Drosophila melanogaster: one gene and its partner. The protein of the gene in region 2 interacts with the protein of the main gene of each other region in a pairwise test. Each region holds a gene or a part of one and is shown on either strand. Other genes may lie near its edges.

What was found.
Region 1: the proteins of Dap160 (region 2) and nwk interact in a two-hybrid assay, tested with the Drosophila melanogaster proteins (one study listed by BioGRID).

The regions. Positions count from the first base shown.
Region 1 is NT_037436.4:9,135,963-9,141,104, reverse strand, and holds the start of nwk (nervous wreck), read right to left. Parts: upstream 3,246-5,142; 5' UTR 3,216-3,245; exon of another isoform or gene 3,141-3,215; intron 2,524-3,140; 5' UTR 2,429-2,523; coding exon 2,408-2,428; intron 2,333-2,407; coding exon 2,103-2,332; intron 2,013-2,102; coding exon 1,485-2,012; intron 1,200-1,484; coding exon 317-1,199; intron 255-316; coding exon 1-254. Other genes in the region: Use1 (unconventional SNARE in the ER 1), read left to right, coding at 4,002-4,353, 4,448-4,804. UniProt on the Drosophila melanogaster protein: Adapter protein that provides a link between vesicular membrane traffic and the actin assembly machinery. Acts together with Cdc42 to stimulate actin nucleation mediated by WASp and the ARP2/3 complex.
Region 2 is NT_033779.5:21,139,111-21,144,038, forward strand, and holds the start of Dap160 (dynamin associated protein 160), read right to left. Parts: upstream 3,238-4,928; 5' UTR 3,129-3,237; intron 2,903-3,128; 5' UTR 2,679-2,902; coding exon 2,515-2,678; intron 2,443-2,514; coding exon 2,068-2,442; intron 1,899-2,067; coding exon 1,459-1,898; intron 1,381-1,458; coding exon of another isoform or gene 1,369-1,380; coding exon 1,107-1,368; intron 1,047-1,106; coding exon 899-1,046; intron 833-898; coding exon 566-832; intron 493-565; coding exon 1-492. Other genes in the region: pths (porthos), read left to right, coding at 4,196-4,393, 4,454-4,712, 4,902-4,928.

The DNA of each region.
Region 1 (5,142 bases), on a different chromosome or scaffold from region 2:
GAGTCCACTGTCTGATCTTCATTGTCAACGGTATAATCGACAGATGAGAATGAGATTTGAGATCGCAATTGATTGCCGGAAGTACCATTAAAGGCGCTGCCCGCTGTCTCCTGATCGATGTCCAGATAGTTGTGTGGCACGTAGCCCTCCTCGCCGCGATAGTTGCGGGCCCTTAGCCACCCATCGCCGTCGCCTTCGCCAACCACCTCGAGCTGTTCATTTTCGACGATGGTGAGCTCGTCGGGATTCTGGGCCTGTGGAAAAAGTGAAAAATTAGTGGCAAGAAAAAGTATATAGTTCTTTAAAGCTCACATACCGTATAGCTGTAGAGTGCAGTGCACTTGAAGATCGCCTCCTTGGGTTCTGGAACAATCGGTTCGTCCTTGTCGTCCTCCTCCTCGCCAGCTCCCCAGTTGACCTCAGTGGGATCATCCCAGCCACCAGCGCTACTGGCCATCATGGATGACGAGGCAGCAGCTGCAGAAGAAGCTGCCGCTGCCGATGGACGCACTTCGGGCTCATCCTCACTATCGCTGAAGGTACGATCCCTGGATAGCTGTTGCTCCTGCTTGGGCTTCGTTTGGGCAGCTGCCTGAGTCTCCTCCTTGTCGCTGTCGTAGAATGAATCGGAACTGGGATTCTCGCCCTGGCCAGAGGCGTCGGTGCGCATCGAAATGGAACTGGCCGAACGCGTCAGCTCCTGTACACCCATATTCTCGGCCTCCTGCACCCACTCGTCCACGTTAATGCCGCCATCGCGCAGGCACTGCAGACATGCCTCCGCTTTTGTCTTTTCCGTCTCGGATCGACGGATTTGATCACGGAACTCCTCGATCTTGGTGTCCAGATCCGGTCCATTTGGATCGTTGGGATCCGTGCGCTGGCCAGAGTCTCGCAGCGACTGGCACAAGGCCAACTTCTTGGCATTCTCCCTGATCGAGGCATTCTCCTTGACCACTCTTCCGGCCAGATTCTTGGCCTCCTTGGTTAGCGTCTCGGCGGCGGACTCATGCTCCGCGGTCACCTTGCGCACCGGATCATTGTCGCACGCCTCGAAGTCATATTGGATGTGCTGCTTCAGCACCGGATAGAATAGGTAGCAGCACTGCAGGTTGTACTCCCGCGTCAACTGCTGCGCCTGGTCACGGATCTTTCCGAAGCTATTCTGCGTAGCCGAGCAAGTCAACAGCTCTGTGCGTCTGGAAAAGATGTGTTTTAATGGTTAGGCAACATTAAGATAAAGATTTCTTAAGACAGCACTGTTATGTACATATGTACATATTGAGTCATAAGATTAAATAAAATGATTTAATAACTTTATGAGCCATATCAGGTAGCGCCATAAAAATTATCAGAATGTAATTGACGACTTGAGCAAACATTGATTAGAAAATGGCTTTGAACTTGTAAAATTTATAATTGATTTACCGATTTTGCACTTCTGGATGGTTTATAATTTATGAGCAATGCCATTATACACTTACCCCATTAACATCAGGTACTCGGCAACCCGCTCGAAAACATAGTTCTCCATGGTGGTCATCGTTGTCTGCAGATCGACGGTGAAGTAGCGATTCTGATGCGCATTGGCCGCCGCCAAGCTGAGTACGTAGTCATTCCGGGCGCCAGATGACTTCTCCTCCAGCAGCTCCTTGCGAGATGTGACCCGGGCGCTGTTCTTCTGCAGCGAAGTGATTGATTGAAAGAAGGAGCCCTTCTTCTTCTTAAGCTTCTCCTCGATATCGCGGGCCTTGTCCCGAACATCGTGAGCACAATGCTCTTCGTCAAAGTATGATTTCTTGGTCTTATCCACATCGCCCACGCTCAGATGGAGTTCCTTCTGCACATTGACAATTCCGGCTAGCGAACGCTTAGCTATGGCCAACTTATAGTCCCGCAGAACCTTGGCCTCATCCGCGATTTGCTGTTGAAACACCTCTATGGCGGCCAATCGAGCACGAGCCAGTTTCTCATTCTCCTCGAGCACAGTGCGCCAAACGCTCCACATGTTCCTATGAGATTACGTATAAGTAGGTGGGTAATTCAAATTGACTGAAGGTTCTCGAAAGAACGTTACTAGTTAGCTGGAAAGCAATACCCACCAGCGTTCCTCCATGCCCTCCATCTTAATATCTGGTATATTGGGTATCTTCTTGTTGAGATACTGCGATGAGATCTTCAGCAGCGACTCACTGTATGACTTCTCGACAGCGGAACGCTTGATGGTGAACTGCCGGATGTCCTCCAGGAGGTCGCATTCATGCTGATTCTTCAGCTGCAGCTTGGCCACCTGCTCCGTGTGCAAATTCTTGAGGAATTTCACATAGTTTCCCTGCAGGATTACGAGGTATACGATGAATGATTATTGTGGAACTATCTTTATCAATTCGATTTATTTATGATTTACCTTACGCGGCGGCGGCTGCATCATGGGGCTTTTTCTACGACAATCGGGTCACTCTACAATTGGCTTTTTTTTTCTATTTTAGCTCCGACTTAATGGTGTTACATTACCTCTAGCAACTGTAAATAGTATGATTGCTTTATGAGAGGATATGATATACGGGTATTAAAATACGATACGATATTTAAGATCCCATCTTATTTTTTTAATATAAAAAAATTTATATTTCAGTGGCTTAAAAGGGGAGATTTATTTTTAACGCCATGACTTATATCAAAGAATCTAACATTATCAAATTAAAGATTAGATAAAATGTAGCCCTACTGATATTTATTATATATATATATTTTCCGATTATTTTTGGCTGTGTAAATGGGTGGTGTTGGTGGTACATGTGGGTGGTTGTGTGGTCCTTAAGCCGTTAATAGGTTCGCTACGCAGCAACGGGTCTCAAAACTTATGTAACTGAAATGCAATGATAACTGACATCGAAACGCAAAGGAAATCAAGGGTTTTCTTCAAGCTCAAATCTAGTACTATTTTTAGCTGGAAATTTTCACTCGGGCAGCCCACGCAGCAGCCCCCCTTTTTTTGGGGGTATCGTATCGATTTCTCTGGCCCCGGACTAGCTTATTTTTTTTAAGCATTTACACCAACTACGTTATTCAAAACACTTGGCTAACACTTTTTTTGGACATGGCCGGTTAAGATGGTTGTTTTTCAGCTGGATTAGTACTTTTTGGGATTCTTATCGCTGGGTTTTCACTGAAATTTGTGGTCTTTTTCTGGGCAGCTAAAATCCGTTGCTTACTTATCGATTTCGATTTTCACGACGTTTGTGTGAGAACTTTTCAACATGCACCGTTAACTGCTGGTGCTGCTGCGCAAGAAGAGACCGCCAAAGAGAGCGGTGAGAGAAAGTCGAGAGAGAACGAAGTCGTGTTTCATTCATGGCCTCTAGTACCGTTAACAAAGAGGGTGAGTTTTATTGTTTTTGCCCCGTCAGCTGTTTGATAACACCTCACTTGCGTGTAACGGCACTTAAGGAAAATGAAGAAAAAAAAACTACTATAAAAATTCAACCTTTGAATGGTATGCCATTTGATCTTGACACCTGGCGTACGACAACAGCTAAAACAAAAATGTGCGTTTGCGTGAAACTACTCATATGCTGTGGCTATCAAAAACGGTTTAATTGATAACTTCAGATATTGGCCAAGAGGTTTGATAAGATTTTCGAGTCGCGCCCAGAAGTATGCATGCAATAATATAAATGCATTACGTTATCTTGAGAAAGTAGACATAAGCTTATAAATATGGCATATTGGGAACTTGATGTTTTTTTTCAAAAATTTTTAAAAATTAAATTTTAACAGGATTAGAAGATTATTTGTTTGTTATGTTTTTTTTACTTTATACATTTTTACATTCTTACATTTTACATACACATCCTCAATAATTTTTCATCACTACTCACGACAACCTATCGATAAGTTTCTATCGCTAATAGGACCAGCTGCTGACAACAAATAGGTTTCGACCTGGTATTTTAATTTAGGAATTTGTACTTTGTTGTTTTCATGTTTTCAACTTGAAAATGGCCACGAAGCTAAATGTAAATATTCGCACCCTGCTGGCCAACTGCGAGGAACTGGCCAAAAGCGAACAGAACTTCTGGAGGCTGCAGAAGTTCATTAAGTCCCTGGACACAATGCTTGCCGAGCTGGAGGCGATGGGCGATCCGCAGAGTGTCAAACGTATCCCGGGCTACTTGGAGCGCCTACAGGCCCTTAAAATATCCACCGGATATGCAGACGTTCCCGGTTCCACAACAAAGACTCCTTCACAATCCTCAGCCGTCAGCGAAACTGGGGAAAATGCACTGAAAGAAATAAGGCAGCTGCAAAACAGCAAATATCACAACGAACTGCGAAAGGAACTGCTCCAGGGTAATAAAGAATTAACAAACAGTTTTGTACATATTTTAAAATTTCTTAAATTCAAAAATGTAATAGTTCATAACTTAAAAAACATTTATTTTAGATTCCGATGCCCTGCGAAGACGTCGAGGAGCAGATGAATCCTCCTCCAGTTCTGGAAGCGCAAACGTTCAGGAAACTTCTGGTGAAAACATGAACCAGGCTGCCAAGTATTATACGAATGCCCAGGAGAAGATCACCGAGCACATGCTCTCGCTGACTCGGAACTTAAAGGAACAGACGGAGACCGCCAACAGGATTATCCGAAGAGACACGGAGGTTGTGTCGCGTTCCGCCGGAATGGCGGATCGCAATATCAATTCGCTAGGAAAAGAGGCTGAGAAACTGGAGCAACATTCGAAAAAAGCCTACAAGTGCTGGCTGTGGCTGATGATTGCCTTCGTAATTGCCACTTTTATAGGTGAGTCATTGTATTTTGTGGAAGTTTTGTTCAAGCTGCAAAAAAGAACCCCTCTTGGAAAATCCCAATTCATTTACTTAACAAATATACCTTAAGTTATCCAACTCAACAACACACATTTAAACACGTTTATAAACCAAGTTTCCTGAATATGTTAATCACAATATTATAAATATTCATTATAAGAACGAAAACAGATAAATAGATATTAGATTCCATTGCTATTATTATTGTATTTAAACTGAATACGAAAACACTGCGAGTCACTTCACTTAAGCCAAATAAACAAGTTTGCCGTGACTCAGTTTGAAATTACATTTCTTAATTGGTTCGATTTA
Region 2 (4,928 bases):
GCCATTTATTTCGCCAGCCAACCATCCCGGCTCGGCGTTCTGCTCCAATGGCACCAGGATAATGTCACCAGGCACAAAGGTAATCTCCTCCGCGTTGCGTGCGTTGAACTCGTATACTGCTTGATATTTCACGAATCCTTCTGGGGCCGGTCCCCCTAAGTCCACAGCTGGAGCGGCCAGTGCGGAGATATCATTGCTCGCAACTGCGTAGGGATCGGTGACAGTCGTACCCGTCTCCTCCCAAGCACTGGAAGAGCCTGTGTCCCAGGCCGACGATACACTAGTTTCGTTCTTTCGATTGTACTTCAATTCCAGCACCGAGGTGCGCTGCACATCGTATTCCTTGTACAGATCCTCGCACTTTGTGATTAGAGCGGAGAGCTCGGCCTTGAGCTCAGACATCTGTACATCATTAGTGTTGATGTCCTCCTTCTTTGACTCAATCTCTTTACTGATATTCTCGACTTTATCCTTTATTTGGTTAATAATTAACTGTTGAAAAAGGTAAATAGTATTTTAGAGAATCCGTTGAATACTAAAACTTTACGTATATGCCAAAGCTCACCTGCTTGTGGGCGAATGCGGCATTCAGTTGCTCCTGCTGCGCATTCTCCCCTCCCAAGGCAGCCCCGCTGGCCTTGCTCTTGGCCTCCCACTTGGCCCTCTCTTGGGTGAGCTGAAGCAGTTTAGCGTTCTGTTCCTTAATCCGCGCTTTCAGCTGCGACATTTCGGACATGGAAGTGTCGCGCTGGGTGCGCATTCCGTCGATAACGGTCTTTACGTTTGTCACGCCGGCACGAGTGTCGCAAATCCTCTGCGAAAGCTCCTTGATCTGTAATTAAGCCGAGTTAGTTAGATAGGCCAGCCATATAGATTAGTTGTACTTTAAGAACATTACTTTTTCATTCAGTGTGCTGAGCTCCACATTAAGCTGGGTGTTGTGTGCCTTCTGCTTTAGAACACGTTCTTGTTCCCTCTCCTTCTGTGCGTTCATTTCGGCAATTCTAGCCTGCTCCCATTCCTGCTGGCGCTGCTTCTCAAGCTCCCTGATACAATAGAAATTGTATACATTGTTTTGTCGCTCAAAGCAAGATAAAAGTCCTTACTTTCTGGCCGCCTCCTTAGCCTCCAGTTCCCTCTTGCGCTGCTCCTCCTTCTCCATCTCAATCTCTCGCTGGCGTTGGAGCTGTCGCTCTAGTTCCTCCTGCTGCTTACGCTCGGCCTCCAAACGAGCCTTTTCACGCTTATCAGCCTCTTCACGCTCCTTTCGCTCTCTCTCTTCCCGCTCCTTGCGCTGCTGGTCCTCCATAATTTTGCGCCTACGATCCAGCTCTGCTTGACCCTTAACATAATTCTCCTTTCGCTTGTCTTCGAAGGAAGCTGGTGAACGCGAAATCACAAGTGTTAATATATGGAATATATTCACATGTTTGGCAACGGAGTTAATTAAGCACTTACTTTGTCCAGGTAGTCCGGCTGTTGGGTCAGCATCCACGACTCCCACTCCGCTTTGGGATGAAACAGATGCGTGTCGGGAGGCCGGCTGTGAGCCAGGACGGGATACCACCCCTGAGACCGATCCCGGTCGCGATTTTATTTTGCGCAAGTTGGGCGGTACCCATTCCTGGGGCAAGGTAACCGGAATTTTCTCACCAGCCATGGCCTTCTCGCATAGGAACATGGCAAGAATAAACTCGTCGCAGTTCAGCCGTCCATCGCCGTCGATGTCGGACAGCGTCCAGATTTGGGCCAGCGTGACCTGGGGTAACTTGCTCTGTACGAGAACGCCGCGTGCCTGGGATCCAGTTAAGTAACCAGATCGGGTGCGATCATTAGCATTGAACACCTGCGTGTATTTACGCTTTTGGGCAGCTTGAACGGCCCATTCTCCTTGGTTGCTAAAAGGATAGAAGTTGATTGAGGAGTTAAGAACAGATACGATATTATATATATGTTTTTGCTAATATTTCAATAACTAAGAATATTTGAAATTTAATTAATTAAATTATCTCTTCTTTGCTACATTAATAATATTAAATCATTAATTCGATTCTAAGTGATGCTTACACAGACTCGATCGATGGCGCTCGCTCTGAGATAGACGTGTGGCGACTAGGTGGATTGCTGGTGGGGGGTGTGGGGCCAGACGGCACTGAGACTCCAGGCGGTGAAATGACAGTAGCCACAGCCACCGGTGGAGCCACAACGGGAACAACTGGAGCTACTGCCGGAACTATTCCCTTGAGTGGATCCAAAGGGCTCAAGGAGCTTGTGGAGCCACGTGGCGTCATCGAGGGGACATCGCCGGTAAGAGACGACAGCAGGCTGGGAGGAAGAACCTTGGGAACGTCCATGCCGCGCAACTTGAGGTTGATAAGCTTGCAGGCTATGCTGAACTCATTGATGTTCATCTTGCCGTCGGAATCAGTGTCCGCCAGAGCCCTGGAGATAAGAAAATGAGTAAGAATTAACACTCTTATCGGTGGATGATTCATGGGGGCGTAATATACATACCATATTTGGCCCAGGATCAGGGGCGGCAGCTGGGACTGCAGGAAGAACCCTTTGGCCTGGGCGCCGGTAACGAATCCTGCCTGCGGCTGGAGTGCCCTAAACTGTTCCTGGTACTTCAAACGCTCCCTCGGGGTCACAGCCCACGCATCCACCGCCGAGTTCATTTTGGGCAAACACTTTATCCTAGTTTCCACGGAAAGCTCTTCCTCTTTATCGTCCTTTTTCCGTATGCGTGTGTATTAGTGCGCTCTCTTCGGCTACTTTTGAGTACACATCAAATACAAACTCTTTCGCTCCGCACTCTTTTCGCCGCTCTCTTTACTACGTCTATCGCCTATTCAGTATCCACCACCCCCACAAATTTTCACAATGGATTTTTATGGTTTACCTATAAAGCATTTCCAAAAATATTAAGCGATCTCAATGGACAGGTTGTAAAGATAGATTGCCCCCTTTACTCGCTTTCTGAAGGTTTTAGTTTCTCTTTAGTAGGCGTTTTCACTTGTCAACCGCATAGCCACGAATTAACTGATAAGTAATGATGTGGTATGGTCCCCGCCAACGCACACGTTATTCTCTTATATATCCCTCTTAACTGTAATTTTGTTGCTTACTTTTCATCGGAACAAGAAAATTTTGTATTTGCGTAAATTTTAATCAATATTTTATATGATAGGATCCTATATCGACGAACGATAGGCTCCGATAGGTACGGACTAATAATCGAAGGAGGGTGACCGTCGCTTGTTTCTGTGATTATAGCAAGCAAGTGTTGAAAAGTACGGTGACCTTAAGTTGGATGTGACTATTCTGCAACGTTTTTGTTTTTAGCCGCTAACGGATTTTTAAATAAATGAAACAACTACTGACTATGAGTAATATATTAATTATATTACTTCTACAGTGAACCTCATAAAAATTATGTCGGCAGTATGATGCATTTAACACAATACGAAAATGTATACCTAACCAAAACATCAACAGATCGCAATAAACAAAATCGAAGATTAAAATTCGAATATCCAAAATTATAAGAAAATGTTAAGTACAAGTCAGTTAAATTATTTCAACTATTTTTTTCTTTTATTGTCTTTAATATTTCTATACAATTAAAAATGACAATTATTCAGAAATCTTTTGTTCCGGATTTAACGGAATTGTTAATAATAGCATCAATAACATTTGTGTATGAAAATGTCAAACAGTTTTTATTCGTTGACAGTTCATGACAGACAACCCTCTAATTGGCGTTTCATTAATTTAAAATTGCGCGATGGAAAAAGATGTATACCAAATTTGTATTCACCATCTATTTTCAAACATTGTTATATTAACTGAAATGACAAAATCACAATATTAAACAATTTTCTAACAAATTACGATTTTATACAAATGTGAATATATTTCCGAAACAAACTATTTGCACTATAACTAAGTCCTGTAATTAAGATCATGGTTCAGTATGAATGAGTTACAAATTTTATTAAGTGTGCATGTGATATATCGCACATTAGCTATCGAAAGTTATCATGAATCTGCACTGTTTTAAAGACGCAACTATATCGATAATATCGCAAATAGTTCTATTTCTATTTTACCGCCTCTAATTCTTTTATTTCGACCACGTGCTGCTATTGGTAATGTCCGTACCGTGAAATTTTTCTGAAACTCATGTAACAAAATGTCGGAAACTTCAGAGGACGAACAGACGCAGCTACAAACGAGTGACGAAGAGGAGGATCTAGGTAGCGAGGAGGAGCAGGAAGATGAAGATAACAATCATAAGGAAGGGGACAGCGAGGCGGCACTAAGTGGTGAAGATGATAAAGGCTCCGAGGACGACGCAGCCGAGGAACAGAAGCTAACCTGGAAAGATCTCGTATGAGCCCCACTATTAATTTAAATTAAAATTTAATCGAATGGCCATATTTCTTCAAAGGGTCTCAATGAGGCTTTGTGTCAAGCATGTGACGAATTGAAGTGGAAGGCGCCTTCGAAGATCCAACGTGAGGCCATTCCGGTCGCCTTACAGGGCAAGGATGTAATTGGCCTAGCGGAGACCGGTTCCGGCAAGACGGGCGCCTTCGCTCTGCCAATTTTACACGCCCTTCTCGAGAATCCGCAGCGGTATTTTGCCCTCGTGCTAACCCCCACGAGGGAACTGGCATTTCAAATTGGCGAGCAGTTTGAAGCCCTTGGTGAGTTTTCGCATAGTTTATGTGCTTTTAATTCGCAGTGATGTTAAACCTGTTTTGATTTTGTGTATCAACGAAAATATGAAATTATAATTTTCTTATTCGTCACTACCTCTGAGTAAAAAAACCTTCCCATTTATCGTATTCTTGAATTTCCTTCTGCCAAACTTATGCTAGCTCTGTTTTTTTCAGGTAGCGGGATTGGCATAAAGTGTTGCG